4 linked regions of the Oryzias latipes genome follow. The protein of the gene in region 4 purifies or fractionates together with the protein of the main gene of each other region. This does not show direct contact. Links are inferred from orthologs where the notes say so. Each region holds a gene or a part of one and is shown on either strand. Other genes may lie near its edges.

Region 1 (5,307 bases), on a different chromosome or scaffold from region 4:
TTTGACTTTAAAACCTTTTCATGGGAGCACGCTAACTTCAATGGGACGATCCTGTGTAGCACAGGATGTCTTTTATTTTGAAAGGAAGTCATACGCGCTTCAACAGTAAAAGCGCAATTTCACATTTAGAGAAAAGGCTTTTTCTTTGTATATATCTGATTTATTTATACCAAAAGAGAAACGTCAAGCAAAGCAGTCTGACATTTTTTAAAAGGGGCGGCTCCTACTAGGTTTTGATCAGTAAGAAACAGACCCAAATGGCTCCTATTATTATTCAAGGTTGCAGAACCCTGATGTAAACAGTCGAAGATTTATGGTATGTCAAAGAGCGTGTGTTATTCAGGTTCTGCCGGCTACATCTCCGGTGTTAAAGGGTTAAGGAATCAGTGAGTAGTTGCAAAAATACAAGAACCTTTAGGCCCAAAATACTGTTTTTGTGAATGTACCTTTCCTCCTTCGACCACGGGCCTCTCGTATTTCATCCCACCAACCAGCCCCACCGGCCAGACTGACACCCGCTGGGTGCTCCTCATCTGAGTCAAAACCAGAAAAATCTCAAACCTTCAAGTTTCTGTTTCTGGAAACAGCTAAACATCTCATTTCTCACCTCTTCAAACACCTGCAGACTGTATGTGTTGTCGTCGTCAGCAAAATACACCACCCCCTGCAGGTTGTCCCCTCCCGCCTCAGCCCGTCTGTCCTCTCGCAGCCACCGCAGCCCCTCATTTCTTTGCTGCACGCCACGGGGCTTCAGCCAGCTGGGGTCTCCCTGTCCGAAAAACAAAAACAAAACAGGAGTAGGACCTGAAACAAACCTGAAGACCTGGAGAAAACAGGATCAGCCCTATACCTCCTGGAGTTTGTGGTCCTTGGCGGTTGGCACGTGCAGGTGGGTGTAGACCAAGCCGCTCTTCTTCAGAAGATCGGTGACCAGAGGAGTCTTCTGGGGCGAGTCCTCCACCACGATCCAGTGGAGCTGAGGGACGTGGAGGAAAGTCTGCGACAGGCGGGTCAGCTCTGCTTTCTGCACCAGCCTACAATAAGATCAGAGGAGCCGCTAGAGCCCAGAGCTAGCTGAAGACACGAAACACCAGGAAAGGCGGGGCTTACCTGGCATATGTGGGAGTGATGACGAAGATGGTGGTGGGCGGGGGGCCTCTGGCTGGCTGCTTCGGGGGTAGTTTGGTCGCCTCCGAATTCTTTATGACATCTTTCAGGTGGTGAAGCTCCTCCTGCAGGCGGGATATGGTGCGATCTTTCACCATGATGTGTTCTGTGCAATCGCAGCGCTGACCTGCTCAACACAGAGGACGAAAGGTTCTGATACATTTTCATACCGTAGCCCAGAGGTCGGCAACCTGGACCTCTCAAAGAGCCATTTGGATCCGCTTCCCACTGAGATGAAAGCACAGGGAGCCGCAACACTAGGTGTGTTAGAAAAAATGCTTTTGCCGACATATCATATCATTTAGTACTTGTATTGATTCAAAATACTGTCAGGATAGTTATTTAATTATTTATTTTAATTATTTTTATTCTTTATGAGCGTGATGTTTCCTTTGATCTTTTGTCCATTTCCCACAACCCTGAATAGACTTTTCCGTCTGTCGTAACAAATTCACTTTGATGCAGACTCGTTTCTATTTTTTCTTTTTCTTTAAATCCAGTAAACCCAATAAACTATAATAATTTTATGGATGACAACTATGTTTTATTAGGAAGCAGCTGTTGGTTTGTTGATGGTCTGGAATCATAAGCGGTGAGTCTAAGGCCCGCCCCCCGCCTCTCTACCTGTTCCTGGGATAAATTTGTAATTTTTATGAGACGTAGATGGAACGTCAATTTTGGAAGAGATTTTCTAAAACTACTGAACCTTTTTACACCGTCTTTTTAATTGGTATTTCAAATTTAAACAGAGGGTACAAGGATTAAGTTTGTATGACATATCCCCACATGCCCTCCCCTTTACTGCACCACTCTTTCATACTACAAATATTTTGTAAAATATACATTTTCAAAAGAAGTAAACCTCTCAATTGCACATTTCCAAAATAAAGTCAATCATTAAGTATTCTAACAGCAGAGACATCTAAGTCCTTTATATAATTTAAGAAGGGATTCCAAGTGGTAAAAAAATCTTGTGTACAACCCCCTAGCAGAGAAGCGAATTTTCTCCAAAACCAAACCATGTAAGAGATCATTTATCCACATCTTTAAAGTTGGAGGAAAATGATCCTTCCAATTGAGAAGAATAGGTTTCCTAGCAATTCAGGTCCCAAAGATAATTATGTTTTGTGCTTTGTGGTTGAGATTAAGATCCTGTGGGATTACGCTAAATATTGCAGAAATTACAGAAGGTTTTATAGGCCTTTGTAAAACATCTTAAAAATACTTTAAATATTGAATGGCAAAAGCAACTTAATTTTACACAGGACCAAAACATATGAGAGTTGGTGGCCGTTGATTGTTTACATCGATCACAAATTGGATAAATATCTGGAATGAATTTTGTAAGTTTTGCTTTAGATCAATGGAGTCTATGTACAATTTTAAATTGAGTAATCCTGTGACGTGAGCAAATTGAGGAAGAGTATATTCTGTCTAGGGCTTTCTCAGTGATATTTAAGCCTAAATCCTCTTCCCATTGGGTTTTTAGCAATATTAGGGGTGTCTTTTGATTTGCCTTGTATGAAAACTAATGAACTTTAACAGAAAGACGGTACAGTCGCAAATTCTAAAACCTATTTATTTAGAACTATCTAGTACTATTTATTTAGTACACATATAAATGTGATTGGTAACGATTATTTTTCTTTCAACAAAAAAAAAACATGTGCGACAGAAGAGTTGCACAACAGAGTTGCCACAGGTTTACAACAGCTTAAAAATCTATCAAGAAATCATGCACAGTTAGTAGAAAAGGCTGGGGGTCACATATTATTGACTTATGAAAGGAGTCTGTGGGTCAGGAGAAATATGAATGCAGATCGCATTTGGCCCACAGGCCGGACTTTGGACATGCCTGGTATATGGGAACTGGTGTCACTATTAGTAGCTGCTTGAATTCTGGTTTTATTTAAAAAATAGTTTTAGAAAGGGAATGTGAAAAAATGAATATTCTATATTCAGTGTTTTGCCAGTACTCTAATTAGTTTTTTATATGTTTAAACCATTCATTTCTCCCGTACAAATACTTTATTATAGGAATGTAACGAGGTGTTGATATTTTTGCTCTAAACGGGACACAGAAAGATGAGAATGCATCACTCACCAAGCTGCATAAGAGCATAGATGAGACCCATCAGGGAGACCATGAAGTACATCACAAACACTGTCTTCAGCTTCAGCTTCATCCTTGTTGCCATGGTTATGGTATCCTGAAATGAGAATGTTTAAAACATACACACGGAACCCATTACAAATATCACTTTGCTTTTAAATGCTCAGTGTAGTAACAATTAAAAATACCAGAGTGTTTTTCTGACTTGTAAAAATCTCAGGGTGACTTTTACGAGCAAAAAGAAAAGGTCGAATGCTAAATAACTGGATGACAAAGCAGGCCAAGTTAACCCGGCGCCTTCCGTCTGATCCTACCAGCAGCGGAAACGGCGGGAGGCGGGACTTAAGGCGACGAGGAGCGACGACCGCGACGTCTCATGTCATCCTGGAGGGACAGAGATGGACCCGTTGGAGCTTCGAGCGCAGCATCCATTCATTTACTGCGCTGTGACATCTCCGCAGCGCCTGCAACAGCTACTTCCGGAATCAGCGCAACACGAAAACGAGTCCCACTTGAAACATTTGCTAATAGTTCCGCGGACCTGGACACATTTTCCAGTTGAATTTAGAACCAAGATTCTACACCAGTCTGACTTTTTGAATCAACAAAGCGTAGTTTGGTCTTTAAAACCACTTTAGACCCAACACTAATCTGAAAATCCCATTTAAATTGGGAAACAATGGTTTCTTTGTTTGAGCTCATCATTCTACATTAACCACATTTTTCACACGTGTTTTAAAAAGAAAATATTAATGTAAATGTAAAAAACCACAAAGAAAATGCAAATTCTATAAAGTCAAAGAAGTTTCCTTTATTTGCAACATACAAATAAAACACTGACAAGGCAGAACGACTTTCCCTTTTATTGTCGCTGACAAGACTGTAACACTCACTCTCAAATATGTAGTTTTCTATGATTCAACACAATCTTCAGAGATCTGAACCTGTAAAAGGCCAAGAAAAAGAGAGGATGGAGCCACAACACTTTATATTTATACATATACATATTTATATACAGAGAAAAAAAAGAAATCTTGAAAGTTGAGAGGATTATCAATGTTTTTTTCTAAAACAAACTTTATTTAAAAAAAATGTAAGCTCACTTTTAACCTATACTTTCACTAAATCCTTTTTAAAGCTTGTGAGCTTTTAGAGGTTAAAAAACAGAAACGGCACACCTGCCTGGATTGACTGCAGCCCTGTGGCTCAGGTTCAAGGGAAATTCATGCAGCGTCACATTTGGAAGGGACTGAATAAGCTACAATTAACAGGTTTTTACTAAAAATGCAAGAATTCCAGGTGGATTTAAGGTTTTTACGTGGGAAAAAAAAAGAACAAAAAAAAGTAACACAGCTAACTATTCCCAGAAAGATGAGGTTTGATCAAATGTCATCAACCTGAGAGAAACAAACGGTTCATTGATGGTCCGAGGTCCCTCCCAATGCAAAATTTCTAGCGAATTATCTCTTTGTGCACTAAAAGGGAAGCATTAATGTTATGAATGGAAGTTAACGGAAAAAATACATATATTTGAAACTAAAATTATCTAAAGGCAAATAAAAAAAGGAATTTGTTTACATGACTTTTCAGTGCCACAAAAAAAAAAACTGTTAATTTGTGGTCCAGAGTCATACTGAAAAACAATTTCATCACTTGTCTGTCATTTTAGCCTTGACGTTGCTGACTGGTTTGAAATAAAAAAAACCAAAAACAAATATCTTTAAAATGCAGGCTGTGTTTCACTTTTGCACGCTGAAGATGCAAGAACAGGGAACGTCTCCCAATCCTCAGAACAAATCTGCGGTAACCGTAAAAAATTTTTCTTTGTATTCTTTTAAGCACTTATGCTTTAAGAAGCTCATGTGGTTCATTTCAGACCAAGGAAAGAGATGGTAGCTGGTAACCACAACTAAAAGTATAATATTTACAGTTCAATGTAACCGTCACTATTAGAGAATATGAAGAAAACGCTATTAGCGGAAGTGAGACATCTGCCTTTCACAATAAAGCAAAAACTCGGCTGCAGA
Region 2 (5,189 bases), on a different chromosome or scaffold from region 4:
CTACTCTCGACTTTTTGAATGCGCGTGGAAAAGCTTCAAAGCGAAAGGTCTTTTCCAACAGTGTTATAAAAGGTTGATAGGATGTTTAGGGTCAGTGTGCACACAGCTCTGAGCTGTTGTTGGGTGCAGAGACGTGTGCAAAGCAGTGGCTCTTGTGTTGAGGTTTTGGCTCATTTCCAGATCAATGGGTTGATCCTTCGTTAACCTTCTAAACACAAAACAAGGTTTTACAAACATCAAAAATCGGGGCATTTTCAAGGTGAAAAATAAAATCATTAAAGGGCCTTTACCATGCAAGGGCAACCTTTTTTAAGCTTTATTATAATGTTCATTCCTAAGTGGTATTTTCAACTAATCACGCATATCTGAGCATTCCTCCAAAAACCTGCTATCTGAGCACCAGCCCCTCCCAACCCACGAAAACAAGTGGGTTCTCACATTGTGACATCACAAAGTGAAGAAAAGCCCCTTCCAGGCAGCACCCACCCAAGGCAAATACACACACTTTCTCCATGGAGCTAAACGCTTTCATTTTTTGTGCACATCCATCTTTGCAAAAGTTTGGATTTTGGTCTTTGTGGGCGAAACGCAGACCCACTGCAGAGGCCTCAAATGACTGATAGAAAATGTTTTTTGATATCAGAAAACACTTTTCATTTAAAACTTCTCATATTAAAGGTCAGGTAAGGGAGAGGAGTATTAATGGTGTGGGCTCTATTATCAGCAACAGGATCCATATAATTTACTGGGTTCTTATTATGAAAACTTAGATCATTTATTTAAAAAAAATTATGTTTTTGGTCAAAAATGGTTGAAATGCAAAGCATTGTTGTCTATTTTTGCTAATCTAGTGAGCATCAATGCCCACCAGTTATTTACAGGGACTTCTGGGAAACTTCTAGGCCAATGGATTTGGAATTGTAGATTTGAAAGCTCTATAAATTGGCAAACGCCCTTTATAATGCACTAAGTAGTGAGTAGTAAAAGAATTTGTACACATTTTCAACCTTTGAAAAAAAGAAACAAAGACCCGGCAGTCTTAAAAAAGCAAAAACTGCTCTCTGTTTCCTCTGCAGATTTTAATTTGTTGCTTGGGTATTTTGTTACAGATCAACAATATCACTCCATATACAACTACAATTACAGTATTTGTACACTTTGTATTCAAATACATAGTTTTCGTTGGCTTATTTACAGAACACATTTATGTACATGTTTTCATGTCAGTGCAATGTCACTTTCTGTCAACAAACAACTTACAAAAATCTTCTTTAAATTAACACATCAGGTTAAGATCCAACATTAATGAACTTAAATAAGAAGAGGCTACAAACACTGACAGTCAGCTCAGTAGTAGATTGCACTGCCTGTCCACTTGTTTTTCAGGGGCGGGGCTTTGAGGGAGGGGCGGGGTCAGTAGCGCGGAGCTGCAGATCATGGACTTGCACTGGGTCAGTCACATACAAAAGTCATCATGTATTGCACCTTTAACTGCAGCCAATGTTTTAAAAGAAGTTCTGTAGAGACAAATCCTCCTCTGACTTCTAAAGACGACACGAACGGCTCTGCAGCTCAGACCTGCAGGAAGAAGACGGAGAGCTGGGCAGAAAAACCACTCATTTGTTCAACAAATGGATCAGCCTAAAGAAAGTTTCTTTAGTCACAGATTTCTTTCCTCCTCACAGCAACGCTGCTGTTGGCAGGTGGGAGGAGTGAGTTAGGAAGCAATGGGACCTCAGGGGGGAGCCCAACTCAAGCAGAGAACAAGCAAATGTAGAGATGCTTTAGAAACAGAGCCAAGTCCTGCATCAACCGAGATGCACCTAAAAACAATCTCAACGAATGGGATCTTTATGGAGAACGAATGGACCCTACAGATGCTGAAATGCATTCTGGCCTTTGGGCTGGCAGTCAATTGAAATGGTTTAGCAGTGGACTTTGTCCTGCGTGCGGCCCGTGACGCTGGGTCTGCTCCTTTATGGACACTTCAACGCCAGGGCAGGAAAATGTGCCAAGTCTGGCTTCAAACTGGTTCATTTCTAGGGTCAGGGGTCAGGGGGTTCTGCAGCTACCATCCATGACACCTGAGGCCTCCTTTTTGTTGCCCTGTTTTTTTTTTTAAAGTCATGCCGTTTTTATGACTTTACAGGACTTTTTTCTGAGGCTCTCACTTTGTTGGATTGAAACATTCAGGGTGTGTCAAGTTAACAGGTGCGTGATACGATAAAAGTCACTTTAAAATCATGTAGGGAGGAAGGACGGAGCCAGGGGAGGGCGTGTGAGGGAGGAGACACATCAGCCTGCTTCAACAACACTGAGACAGCTTCTGAAGCACAGACTGCTTCTTTTCTTTTTTTTACAAAAATAAAAAAAATCTCACAAAACAACAGAACTGCAGAGGGAAAACATTTGCTATCTTAATGTGTGTAGTTTGAAACCATGGCACCGTTCTCAGAGGAAGCTTCCCCGCTGAGTTCTGGCCACGCGCTGGTCCACACGGCACACACAGCCACAGACATTTGGCAGAGCTGGAATCAAACGTGTGTTTGGCAGAAGTGCCTCCTCTTCCCATCAGCATCAGGATGGATGCGCATGACCTGGAAGCGGGGCAAACGTTCCTTTTTGGCGCTCGGGGAGCCTGAAATGTCCTGCCTCTCATAGACGTTAACACTGTTCCAGCCTTTCCTGGGGAAGAAACTGCAGAGAAGCGATGAGGTAGCAGATGACTCGAATTATCTCGACTAAAACTTTTGGAGGAGCATTCCTAAAACGCTGGTCACAGTACGCCCCGCAGACGGGGGGGGTTGGTCCTGGCAGCACATGTGACACCTGCACACACACACTGGAAATGTGGCTTTCCGTTGGGAACTTAAACGCCTCTTCCTCGTCCCGGAGCGCCTCCGCTTCGTCACTGCGTGGCGCGTCAGACTGCCGTACATTCGCAGACGTGCTGGCACATGTTACATGTATGCAATGGAGAGATTCACAACGAGAAGGGGTGGAGCTTGTTTTGCAAGGCTCAACAAAGTGCACCTGTGCAGTGCTGTCGGGGGGGGGGGGGGGGCGGGGCTTCACTGTGGCCTTGGCAAAACCTTCTTGCAAAAACTCGTGTTTCAAAAGTGCTCTCTGAAGGCGCGCAAGCAGCAGGGTCCCGTCTGCAGCACTCAGCAGTTTGTGAGGATGCTCCAGAGGGATCGAACGTGCGGAGCGTCTCGCTCAGAGGGGCGGAGCCGCAGGAAGCGCTGGCTGATGGAAGACGAGCAGGGGTCACTGCAGCACACAGTACTTCTTATAATCGGACTCAAAGTCTTCGTCCATGCTACTGGTGTCGGCCATCTTCTTGCCGTCAGTCTTTGGCAGGAACCGGGAGTAGTCCACTCCCTGCTGCTCGTAGAACAGGATGTAGGCCGAGTCCGTATCGATTTCCTCAGAGTGCACTTCCTGTTGACCACAGAACAGCAGAGTTTCAGAGTCGGATCAGTCAACTGTACTGATCCACGTTGACCTCAAACATCACTTTGGGTCTTTTAATATTGATCAACGCCAAATAATTGGACAAATACTCCAACATTAACTTTGAGCTGCACACCTAACGTTCTGTGTGCGATGGCTGCAGGGTCAACGCTCCGGCAGGTAAACCAACACTGGATCTCCCAGCTCATCCACAGGTAGGGCCAAAACTCAGTTTTTGTCAACTTTTGAAAGTATCTCTGTATTTCCCATTTGAAATGCTATTGCTTGCTTGTCTGGTATCATTTTAATATGCACCACCTCACCTGTGACACTAGCTTCATTTTGTCATTTTTCCATGTTGTCGTCACACACTAGACATGAAACCACAAAAAAAAACAGAACATTCCGTCTGGAACAAAGTGATTAATTTTGCTGTAGGAATGTTCAACAAAGCGTTTTTACAACAGAATGAAAATGTCAGGTGCCATTTCATAAAAATAAGAAGAACAAAAGAACCAAATGGACAGATTTGTTTGTGTCAGATGTCTAAACGGAGGCCACATGGCAGGCCTCATGCTGTGACCTTTCTTACGTTCTTATCCAGACACTTCAGTCTGACTGTGTGGCTTCAGCTTCCAGGCAGCCAAAGAAAATTGAAAGTGTTTTCTGGGTGCTTTGCTGTCCATTTGGCATTTTCCAGGAATTTGGGGGGTTTTGTGCAGCTTTTTTATTTGTTTGTCCTTGTTGCGTTAGTGGCAAAGCATAACAGAAAAACTTTTTTTTTTCCGACCCTGCAGCTGGATTTCAGGTACTCTGCTTGGCTGGAATCTGCTCACAGGTGGAGGCGTGTGTTGCGCCTCCTCTGTGTTCAGGGTGAACTCTCACCTCCCGCAAAGGCGTGGGGCGGGACTTCATCTTCTGCCTTTTTAGTAAAGTACCAGCCGTTGGGAAGGACAACCCGGGGCGTCCGTCGGTTCCAAATGGTTAAAGACCTCCAAATTTTTGAATAGACCTTTTTGTTTAAACGTATCTGATTGGACCAGCACATAAATCTAATTGCCAGGCCACGGCTCTGAACACAACAGACTCTAAGTTCTTCTTTCTTTGTTTCAATTGAATAAAGATTCAAAAGTCTGTGGAAGAGTTGCAGCAGTTCCCTCATCTGCTGACTCACCTTACAGCTGCTGTCGTTGTAGCAGTACCACTTTCTGTTGGGGTTTTTGGCATACGTCACATAGTGGCCGCCTCCCATGATTCCTGAATGGCACTGAGGACAGAGCAGAAGGTCAGTCAGGTTGGTGGGCACCAGGACTCTTCTTCACTGCTGCTGTGACATACGTGTGACCTACTGATATTGCATAGAGGTTGTAGATGGCGTCCAGGCCTGCGCTGTCCCTGTGCGGCAGCAGAGGGCCGTCGGGCTCCATGCTGCTCTCTATGCTGCAGTCAGAGCCCAGCCCGTTCACCAGCATCACGTCACAGTGGCTGCTGGACGCCTCTGTATCACATGACGATTCGGAGCCCGCCTGCTCCCCAGATTCAGGCAAAGCTCCGTCTGCCGGCCCCGCCTCCATGTCCGCCTGCTGTGCGCCGTCTCTGGGCTCGGCTTCTGGATTTGGACTTCCGTCCAAATTCTCCTTGCTGTTGGAGAGCCGGTGTTTGCTGCTGAGCTGGGGTAGCCGTAGCCGGCCTGGTCTGCGGCCACCAGTCTTTGGGCTGCCAGAGGGACTGCTGGT
Region 3 (5,269 bases), on a different chromosome or scaffold from region 4:
CTTTCCATAGAATGAAACTGTTCCTTACAATATTTTACTTCTGGGTCAAAAAGTCTTTGCAAAGCTTTTGAACATTAATTATTTATTGAATATAAAACAAGAAATGACCAGTTTATAAGTTAAATGATCAAATAAAGACTGAACATGTGAGGCGGGAATAAAACAGAAGAAGTCTGTTTGATATAGTTAAAAACAATTATTCTGTGTTCTCTGAACAGAGCCGCATTCAGAAAGTTATTTGTACATTTGACAAATTCTTTCATCCGAGGTGGACCCCCCCCCCCCCCAGGTCCTCTCCTCCTCCCCTTTGCTGGTGGTGCTAAAACAAGAGAAAGCTGTAAGCTATAACCTGGTTTTCATTGAAATACTTTGATTGACATCTCAGCTCAAACGAGCAGTGACTTTACACTCTATGAGCAGAAGTGTTGTGTTGGGATCATCTCACACCCCTGAAGGTTCAGCAGCAGAAGATGAGCAGCCAAAGCAGGAGGTTGCAGGGGTCAGGGGTCACTTACGCAGCCAAATGTGTCTGTCAATAGCAGGGCGAGGCTGGAGCCCAGCCAGGACAGGGAGCTCATGAGCGCCCTTCCACATATTCCAGCTACAGAGCAAGAATGAGTCTGTAATACAACACAGTTGCATGTTGCTGTTGACGAATACAAATATGTCATTGATCTGCCAGTTTGGAAAAAGATAGTGCAAAGATATATATTCTATATGTGGATAAACACCTGCTGCCTCCTACAGACCTGCTGCTGCTTCCACGACGCTTCAGGTTCATGTCCTGCTTCCTCCTATGTCTGTGATCCAGATTTCCACTCCTCTACTGAGTGGAGACGAAGGGTCCAAAGGGGAGAGAACTGCAGGGGACCTCCACCTGAGGAAGACCTCCACCTGAAGAAGACCTCCACCTGAGGAAGGCCTCCACCTGAAGAAGACCTCCACCTGAGGAAGACCTCCTCCTGAAGAAGACCTCAACATGAGGAAGACCTCCACCTGAGGGATACCTCCTCCTGAAGAAGACCTCCACCTGAGGAAGACCTCCACCTGAGGAAAACCTCAACATGAGGAAGACCTCCACCTGAGGAAGACCTCCACCTGAGGAAAACCTCAACATGAGGAAGACCTCCACCTGAAGAAGACCTCAACATGAGGAAAACCTTAACATGAGGAAGACCTCCACCTCTGTCTCCTTTCCCCCCTCCTTCTCAAATATGTGGCCTTCAGACTCTGTCATATTTTTTGAATAAACATCATTTTGCTCCAGCGCGCTGAAACTATGTTTTAGTCCTTTATTGTTAATGTTATGACTTGTTTTTGTGGAGTTGACTCGTTTCCATCCTAAAGGACCGGGGCGCAGCAGAACCCTGAAGCCTTGTCTCCAGTCTTTGGTGGGAGTGTCCCCTGGCCCCTGCGGCTCCTGCGGCTCTTGGCTCCAGCGGGGCCGGGCCGTGCGCGTCATGTGACCGGGGAGTGGCTGCGAGTCAGGAAACGGCGCAGCTCCAAGTCTCAGCGCAGGTAAAGTCCAAACGATCCCAGAAACGAACCGAACCGTTCTAGAGCAGGTTTTGGTCTCGATCCAAAATCCTACCGCGGGTTTCGGAGCGCTTCACTTTCTGAGGACAAACGGCGAGATGTCCCGAACCGGGCTGGGGGCGGGTGGGGGGGCAGTTGTGTAGAGACCGGTAGTTTCATGAGCTAAACGTCACGTTGACGCTTAAAGTTCGGGGTTTTATAAACAGAAACTCCGGGAGAGAGCAGCCGTCACGGAAGGACACAGACCGTGGTGTTCCGAGAAAGTCCTCTGATTTCCGCATTTGCGGCTGCTGGAAAGACTGCAGCCCCACCGACCGACCGCTGCAGGCGGCAGGCTGCCCCGTAACGCACGGCGGAGGGGGTCTTGACGGGGTCCTAAAAACGCGTCATCATAGCAGACGCTGGAGCGCCGCTGGTCCCGGAAACGCGCGTGAGCAACTGCCTGACCCGCGTCAACGCCCCCCCCCCCCCCCCCCAACTGGCCCCCGATCAGAGCAGACTGGGCATGAGCCCACGTTGGTCCAGCATGGATGGGGGTCAGGGGTCAGCTGGGCTGGTGTTTGCTGCAGCAGCTCTTTGGTTCTGACCTTCAGCGTTTCAGAGTTTCAGGATTTGTTCTGAGAGGAAAAGCAACTTTCCTTCTTTGTGTTTTCACTGCCTCCATCACTCAAAGCTGTGAGGAAGTTTCCATCATCTCCATTTGTTATCAAAACGTTGGTTTGACCTCAGACTGTTGATGCTTATGTCAGACAAACGCTGATGATGGTGTAGTTTTCCCTCCTGATCCTGTTGGTACAGAGTAAGCCCACCTTCACTTCCCGTCATCCATAGCTTTAGCGGCACCACAAGAATGCTGCTCAATATTGGAGCTGTCCATGGATCTATTTGTCTGCAGGTGGGGGCATCAGAATGGAGCAGGGCAGGGACACTTTGGCCTGGCCAGAGTATTTTCTACATCACTAGTCTTCATCACAGTCTTTTTTTGTCTGCTCCTGATTGACAACAGTTTTGGGTTTGGGTTTTGCCAGCACCCGTCCTGCTAGTTAAAAACCTACTCCAATGAAAATGGTGTTTGTGGTGTTTTTACATGTTCTTGTAGCATTTTCTAATGATGGAGGACATACATATATATAGAAAATCAAGCTTAAAACTGCATTTCTGAGTATTTCTTTCTTCAAATCGTTGTGAATCAGGAGCAGAAGAAAAAATGCTGTTTGAAAAACCTCTTAGTTGTTACGTAAACTACAATCAGCAGGTCACCAGCTCCCTGCTCTGCTCTATTCTGATCTGTCAGACAAACAGATCCGTGAACGTCTTTGTCTTCCTGGTCTGACCTGGAATCTGGATCAGAACTGGACGGATGATAGATCTGATGTTGATCACCATTTTTGTTGCATCACTAATATTAGCTTGAGGTTGTGAGGGGCTGTAAGCTAGCAGGGGAGAGTTGTAAAAAGATGGATGACGGGAAGGGGGGGTGTTGTGCTTTTCGCCAACAGTCCCGCCCACACCTTAGAGGGGAATTTCTAATGAATTACTCCCAGTCCGCAGAAACTATGTCCTAGAAAACGACAACGTTTTCTGATTTAGTCTAAAAACAGCAGAATCGTAGTGAAAAGACCGCTGGGAACACTTTGACAATAGATCATAAGATGATGGTTGGGGGACTTTAAAGGTTAAACATGCAGTTTGTATGAAAGCAAGACATAAATGTGTCTTTCTGTGTGAACTCAGCTCTCATCATGGCCTACCAGGCTGGGATTCAACGGGAGCCCGCCGCTTTGGTTCAGAACATCAGCTCCAACATCCAGAGGATCACACTACTGAGTAATGCACACACACACACACACACACACACCCACACAGACCTGTGCACATGCTGAACCCCACTGGACCCCCAGCATCCTCACTCATGGATCTGTGTTCCAGCCTCAGAGCTGCAGAGGGCCGTGACCCTGCTGGGGACGGAGCAGGACAGCAGCCAGCTCAGACAGACGCTGTGAGTTCTGACCGCCTGCTTGATCACACATGCAGCCAAATGAGTTCAAACCGACAGCCGGCCTGTCTGTGGACGGTCACCATGCACACACACACATACGTTTCCCTTGTTCCTTCAGTCAGTTCATTTGTAAAGACTCCTGAATGGCAGGAAGCAGACTGTCTTTATTATTTTAGCATCTAATTCATTCATCAAAACAGAAAGATAACTTTAAAAAGATGTTCTAAACACATACATGTTCATATACACACATTGGAGATGCAGGTTGTTACTAAAGTAAGTTCTATTCTTATAACAGTGTTTTACTTGAATGGGATCATTTGTCCCTGTTTTAAAACAGTTCCATTCAGTGGGTTTAAGGTTCAAAAAGTAGTTTTCAACCTTTAGAATAGTTTTTTTTTACTCTGTACTCAGCTAGCTCCTGAAACCCGAGCATTTTCCACGTCAGGAGTAATGGATTTGTAAGATTTCTGTTTCCTCGAGTGAAACGTTTCACAGATGCTTCCCTCTGGTTCTCAGTCAGCAGAAACAGCAGCAGGGGAACCAGCTGGCCAAGGAGACCGACCAGCTGATCAAGGCCTTCACCGCCCTCCCCGTCGGTCCCGATCAGGTACGAGGCCCCTTCGTCCCACGCACCGATCACATCGAACCCGGTCAGGAGTTTGTGGGAATTGATCAGCTGTGTTTGTGTTTTCAGAGGCAGAGGAAGCTGCAGAAGGAGCGTTTGCTCAATGACTTCTCTGCTGCGTTGAACAGTTTCCAGAAGACCCAACGGCAGGCCGCCGACAAGGAGCGGGAGTTCGTGGCCCGAGTCCGAGCTGGCTCCAGGCTGTCGGTTCGTATTCGCCTTCGTCATTTCTGGGAGTGCTGTGAGCGAGAGCTTTCCGTGCACGCTCACCTCATACTCACACGTTCCACAACCAGGACCATCCGGGTTCTTTCTGAACAACACTGCCATGGTTTCCCGGTTTCAGCTGTTCTGGGCCATAATGTACCATCTGCTCAGAGTTTGGCTGAACGTTCAGACGTAGACAGGTTATTCAGATGAAACCCTCCAGCTGAGGAAATGAGAAAAGCTTCTTCCAGTGACAGTGTGTCTGGGTTTATAGGCGTGTTCAGGATGGAGTGGGTGAGTGTGAGCGCTGTGAGGAAATGTTTCAGATGGTCAGGTGAGCAGATGCACCTGTCCCAGCCTGTTCCAGACCCAGCATGAGCCTTCCGCTGGTTGGGGGGCAGATCTCTTTATGTTGATTCATTGATGGTTGTGGTTCTTGCTGGCATTCAAACATCTCCATAAAGTAAGAACAGGCATTGTCCTTGTTGTGGATACGGTCCTCACAGAAACAGGAACTTCTCAGTAGTTTCGCGGCTGGACTTAGAGGTTCAGGTCCTCCACAGCTGAAGATGTTTTAAGTTGCCTGTAAATTGTCTCGAGCAGGGAGGTCAGCCTGATGACGGCTTCGGACATCTTCCTCCAAGGTGAGCTGGCTGTCTATGAAGGTTCTTCTCCTCGCCTCTGTCGTGGCTGCACTATTGAAGCCATGTGGTGTGCTTGTATCTGCAGTTACTCCCAGGTCCAGACGGAGGCTGAAGCCATCACAGAAGAAGACCTGAGGCTGATCCAGGAGCGAGAGTCATCCATCAGGCAGCTGGAGGTCAGCAGCCCCCTGTGTTTGTGGTGAGGGTCATTCTAAAGCTCCTGCTCATCTCTCTGTGCTCTCTAGGCGGACATCA
Region 4 (4,676 bases):
CGGGCCGATGTTCTGTCCGTCTGGTTCCGTCTCCTCGGATCAACGTGGATCTGCACCGCTGGGTTCTAAGCCTTTATGTTCTGTGACATGTCGGGTTCAGTGAAGATAATCCAGAACCAGAACCAGAACCATCCACCCTTGGAGAACAGAAACCAGCAGCGTTATGGGGAACATCATTGAACCTGAACTAAGGGGGCAGCAGAGAGGCGGGTCAGAACCGGACCGGAGGGTTTGAACGTCAAGGGTCGGTTTGGTTCCTTAAGTGATTTTTATTATTAATATTTACTTCCGGTCTCCTCCTGCCGACCTGGACATGCAGACAACACAAGGAAAGACCTGGAAAACCGCTTTTAGGAGGAGCAGACCCCAGGATGACGTCATGACAGAAGAAATGACATCAACCAGGCGTCCGCCACAGGAAAGGCCTTATGATACGGGGGTGGGGGGGTGGGGGGTGGCCTTGACCTCACACCTAGAAGTTCACTGATGTCATGAAAGGAGTCCAGAACCAGAACACAAGAACTTTATTCTGTTATAATTCCAGCATGTTGGCATAAAACACTTTGATAAAACCTTCACAACAATCACAGGAGGTCACATGCCCTTCATCAAACTGTCTGTGCGCCGTCATTGGTCCAAAAGATAAAGCCCGCCCACCTCAGTGTACATGGCTAGAGCAGAGGCGGGGTTTCCATCTCCATGACAACAGCGGATGGCTGCTGAGTAAGGCAGCAGACGGAGGATTTAAGGCCCATGGCGGCGAGCGATCAACATCGTTGATGCTCAGAGTCGGTTACCTGAGAGCTGTACAGGATGATCACATGGCTGCGCTCTGATTGGTCGATTCTTCCACAGACACAGGAAACAAGAATAATCATGAGAATCTGTGTGTACATTTAAATAAAGACACAATTTGTCATGTCGACAAAGAAAGTGTAAACAGGAAATCAAACAAAACAAGTCTGTGCTGGTTCCAGGTCGTCTGTCAAACCGATACCCACATGAGGTTCCTGGTTGGTTATACTGAGGGGGAGGAGCTACGCTAACCAATGTGGTCATGGCACTAAAGGAAAGAAGATGTTTGGCTGATAAGATTCTGCCCTCCCATTGGCCGGCTTGTCTAACTTCAAAGGTTCACCGCAAGACTAACGTTTTGGGTTTTCCAGCCGACAGGCGGCGCGACATTCCCACCGCGTTAACATCTGTGATTATACGTCTTTTACTGCTAATTACTTGGTATTCCTGCTAGCAAACAGCTAACAGGTGTTAGAGTTGTGAGGTTAACTAGCATTGTGGCTAATGACAATGCTCCGTAATGTCGACCACCACAGCCTTTCGCCAGCTGAACAGGAAATAGCCCATGCCGGCGCCAGCTGCCACAGCGATGCAGAGGTAACCATTGTAGGTCATAAAGATGAGCATCAGGAAGTAGCTGATCACCACCTGGATGATGTGCAGCAGCGTCTGTAGGAAGTGGGCGGAGCTTAACATCCGCTGCCTGAGAAAGAGAGAGGTTAGCATGTCAGGTACAGCTAGGGTGTCAGGTATTGCAATCATGTCAGGTCTCACTAGCGTGTCAGGTCCCGTTGGTGTGTCATGCATCAGTACCGTGTCAGATATAGTTATTGTGTCAGGTACCGTTAGCGTGTCAGGTCTCACTAGCATGTCATGTACTGTTAGCGTGTCAGGTACCGTTAGCGTGTCAGGTACCGTTAACGGGTCAGGTCCCGTTAGCGTGTCAGGTACCGTTAGCGTGTCAGGTCTCACTAGCGTTTCATGTACTGTTAGCGTGTCAGGTCTCTCTGGCGTATCATGTACCGTTAGCGTGTCAGGTCTCACTAGCGTGTCAGGTACCGTTAGCGTGTCAGGTCTCACTAGCGTGTCAGGTCCCGTTAGTGTAGCAGGTACTGTTAGCGTGTCAGGTCTCACTAGCGTGTCAGGTACCGTTAGCGTGTCAGGTACCGTTAGCGTGTCAGGTCTCACTAGCGTGCCAGGTACCGTTAGCGTGTCAGGTCTCACTAGCGTGTCAGGTACCGTTAGCGTGTCAGGTCTCACTAGCGTGTCAGATCCCGTTAGTGTGTCATGCATCAGTAGCGTGTCAGTAATAGTTATTGTGTCAGGTACCGTTAGCGTGTCAGGTCTCACTAGCGTTTCATGTACTGTTAGCGTGTCAGGTCTCTCTGGCGTATCATGTACCGTTAGCGTGTCAGGTCTCACTAGCGTGTCAGGTACCGTTAGCGTGTCAGGTCTCACTAGCGTGTCATGTACTGTTAGCGTGTCAGGTCTCACTGGCGTATCATGTACTGTTAGCGTGTCAGGTCTCACTAGCGTGTCAGGTACCGTTAGCGTGTCAGGAACCTTTAGCGTGTCAGGTGTCACTAGCGTGTCAGGTACCGTTAGCGTGTCAGGTCTCACTAGCGTGTCAGGTACCGTTAGCGTGTCAGGTCTCACTAGCGTGTCAGGTACCGTTAGCGTGTCAGGTCTCACTAGCGTGTCAGATCCCGTTAGTGTGTCATGCATCAGTAGCGTGTCAGTAATAGTTATTGTGTCAGGTACCGTTAGCGTGTCAGGTCTCACTAGCGTTTCATGTACTGTTAGCGTGTCAGGTCTCTCTGGCGTATCATGTACCGTTAGCGTGTCAGGTCTCACTAGCGTGTCAGGTACCGTTAGCGTGTCAGGTCTCACTAGCGTGTCATGTACTGTTAGCGTGTCAGGTCTCACTGGCGTATCATGTACCGTTAGCGTTTCAGGTATTACTAGCATGTCAGGTACCGTTAAGGCCTGTTCACACCGGGACGAATTTCGCCGGCGATTTTCGCCGACGTTTAACGCTTCGTGACTAAACAAAGGGCACCAATGAGAGTGTGCACACCGAGGCGAAAAAACGCCACGCGCTAAAGCGTCAAAAAAAAAAACGCCTCGGGTTCGTTTTTTTTTTCGACGCGTCGCGTCGAAATCTATTCGACCGATGAGAATGGCGCTTTTGCACACGTGTCTGGAGCTTCTGAAGTTACAGTAAAACACAACTTGGGGGCGCTCAAACACAAAACTGCCTTGCTGAGCACACATACCAGCGAAGAAGATAGACGCCAAGTAGCGTCTACACTGCCGCGAAGAAATAATGACGGACATTCTAAAATATCCCCGAACAAAGCACCAGTTGGAGCTACTGATGCTTGAAATATTCATGTTTTCTTTGTATGATTCTGACAAGCGCGTAAATACTTGCTCTCTTCTTCTGAGTGAAAAGCGACTTTAAGAAGCGTTAAGTTGCGCAGCGCCACCTTGTGTACAGGAGTATTTCTGTTTACATTAAGCGCCATCTAATGTCAGGGAATGAAATTGCATGTTCGCTCGGCTAACCGTCAGCGAAAATCGCCTGGGTGTGAACACAAACAGCGTGTTGAAAAACACTGGCGAATAACGCCTGGCGAATATTCGTCCCGGTGTGTACGGGCCTTTAGCGTGTCAGGTCTCACTAGTGTGTCAGGTACTGTTAGCGTGTCAGGTACCGTTAGCGTGTCAGGTCTCACTAGTGTGTCAGGTACTGTTAGCGTGTCAGGTACCGTTAGCGTGTCAGGTCTCACTAGCGTGTCAGGTACCGTTAGTGTGTCAGGTACCGTTAGCGTGTCAGGTACCGTTAGCGTGTCAGGTACCGTTAGCGTGTCAGGTACCGTTAGCGTGTCAGGTACCGTTAGCGTGTCAGGTCTCACTAGCGTGTCAGGTCTCACTAGCGTGTCAGGTCTCACTAGCGTGTCAGGTCTCACTAGTGTGTCAGGTACCGTTAGCGTGTCAGGTCTCACTAGTGTGTCAGGTACTGTTAGCGTGTCAGGTACCGTTAGCGTGTCAGGTCTCACTAGCGTGTCAGGTACCGTTAGTGTGTCAGGTACCGTTAGCGTGTCAGGTACCGTTAGCGTGTCAGGTACCGTTAGCGTGTCAGGTACCGTTAGCGTGTCAGGTCTCACTAGCGTGTCAGGTCTCACTAGCGTGTCAGGTCTCACTAGCGTGTCAGGTCTCACTAGCGTGTCAGGTCTCACTAGCGTGTCAGGTCCCGTTAGCGTGTCAGGTACCGTTAGCGTGTCAGGTCTCACTAGCGTGTCAGGTACCGTTAGCGTGTCAGGTCTCACTAGCGTGTCAGGTCCCGTTAGTGTGTCAGGTCTCACTAGCCTGTCAGGTACCGTTAACGTGTCAGGTACCGTTAGCGTGTCAGGTACCGTTAGCGTGTCAGGTACCGTTAGCGTGTCAGGTACCGTTAGCGTGTCAGGTCTCACTAGCGTGTCAGGTCTCACTAGCCTGTCAGGTACTGTTAGCGTGTCAGGTCTCACTAGCGTGTCAGGTACCGTTAGCGTGTCAGGTCTCACTAGCGTGTCAGGTCCCGTTAGCGTGTCAGGTACCGTTAGCGTGTCAGGTCTCACTAGCGTGTCAGGTACCGTTAGCGTGTCAGGTCTCACTAGCGTGTCAGGTCCCGTTAGTGTGTCAGGTCTCACTAGCCTGTCAGGTACCGTTAACGTGTCAGGTACTGTTAGCTTGTCAGGTACCGTTAGCGTGTCAGGTACCGTTAGCGTGTCAGGTACCGTTAGCGTGTCAGGTACCGTTAGCGTGTCAGGTCTCACTAGCGTGTCAGGTCTCACTAGCGTGTCAGGTCTCACTAGCGTGTCAGGTACCGTTAGCGTGTC

The links.
Region 1: the proteins of slc31a1 (region 4) and b3gat3 purify together in Homo sapiens (co-immunoprecipitation; 3 studies listed by BioGRID and IntAct, with this or other methods). This does not show direct contact. The link is inferred for Oryzias latipes from reciprocal best matches to the Homo sapiens genes SLC31A1 and B3GAT3.
Region 2: the proteins of slc31a1 (region 4) and usp32 purify together in Homo sapiens (co-immunoprecipitation; 3 studies listed by BioGRID and IntAct, with this or other methods). This does not show direct contact. The link is inferred for Oryzias latipes from reciprocal best matches to the Homo sapiens genes SLC31A1 and USP32.
Region 3: the proteins of slc31a1 (region 4) and stx7 purify together in Homo sapiens (affinity purification with mass spectrometry; 3 studies listed by BioGRID and IntAct, counting the BioPlex papers as one, with this or other methods). This does not show direct contact. The link is inferred for Oryzias latipes from reciprocal best matches to the Homo sapiens genes SLC31A1 and STX7.

What each region holds. Positions count from the first base shown.
Region 1 is NC_019876.2:12,983,888-12,989,194, forward strand, and holds the start of b3gat3 (galactosylgalactosylxylosylprotein 3-beta-glucuronosyltransferase 3), read right to left. Parts: upstream 3,354-5,307; coding exon 3,272-3,353; intron 1,295-3,271; coding exon 1,111-1,294; intron 1,035-1,110; coding exon 851-1,034; intron 770-850; coding exon 608-769; intron 534-607; coding exon 447-533; intron 1-446. UniProt on the Homo sapiens protein: Glycosaminoglycans biosynthesis. Involved in forming the linkage tetrasaccharide present in heparan sulfate and chondroitin sulfate.
Region 2 is NC_019871.2:30,207,552-30,212,740, reverse strand, and holds the end of usp32 (ubiquitin carboxyl-terminal hydrolase 32), read right to left. Parts: coding exon 4,803-5,189; intron 4,721-4,802; coding exon 4,628-4,720; intron 3,442-4,627; coding exon 3,268-3,441; 3' UTR 1,059-3,267; downstream 1-1,058. UniProt on the Homo sapiens protein: Deubiquitinase that can remove conjugated ubiquitin from target proteins, such as RAB7A and LAMTOR1.
Region 3 is NC_019882.2:21,986,602-21,991,870, forward strand, and holds the start of stx7 (syntaxin-7), read left to right. Parts: upstream 1-2,051; 5' UTR 2,052-2,066; coding exon 2,067-2,211; intron 2,212-3,270; coding exon 3,271-3,363; intron 3,364-3,465; coding exon 3,466-3,535; intron 3,536-4,054; coding exon 4,055-4,145; intron 4,146-4,232; coding exon 4,233-4,370; intron 4,371-4,973; coding exon 4,974-5,014; intron 5,015-5,096; coding exon 5,097-5,190; intron 5,191-5,259; coding exon 5,260-5,269. UniProt on the Homo sapiens protein: May be involved in protein trafficking from the plasma membrane to the early endosome (EE) as well as in homotypic fusion of endocytic organelles. Mediates the endocytic trafficking from early endosomes to late endosomes and lysosomes.
Region 4 is NC_019870.2:343,188-347,863, reverse strand, and holds the end of slc31a1 (high affinity copper uptake protein 1), read right to left. Parts: intron 1,499-4,676; coding exon 1,297-1,498; 3' UTR 508-1,296; downstream 1-507.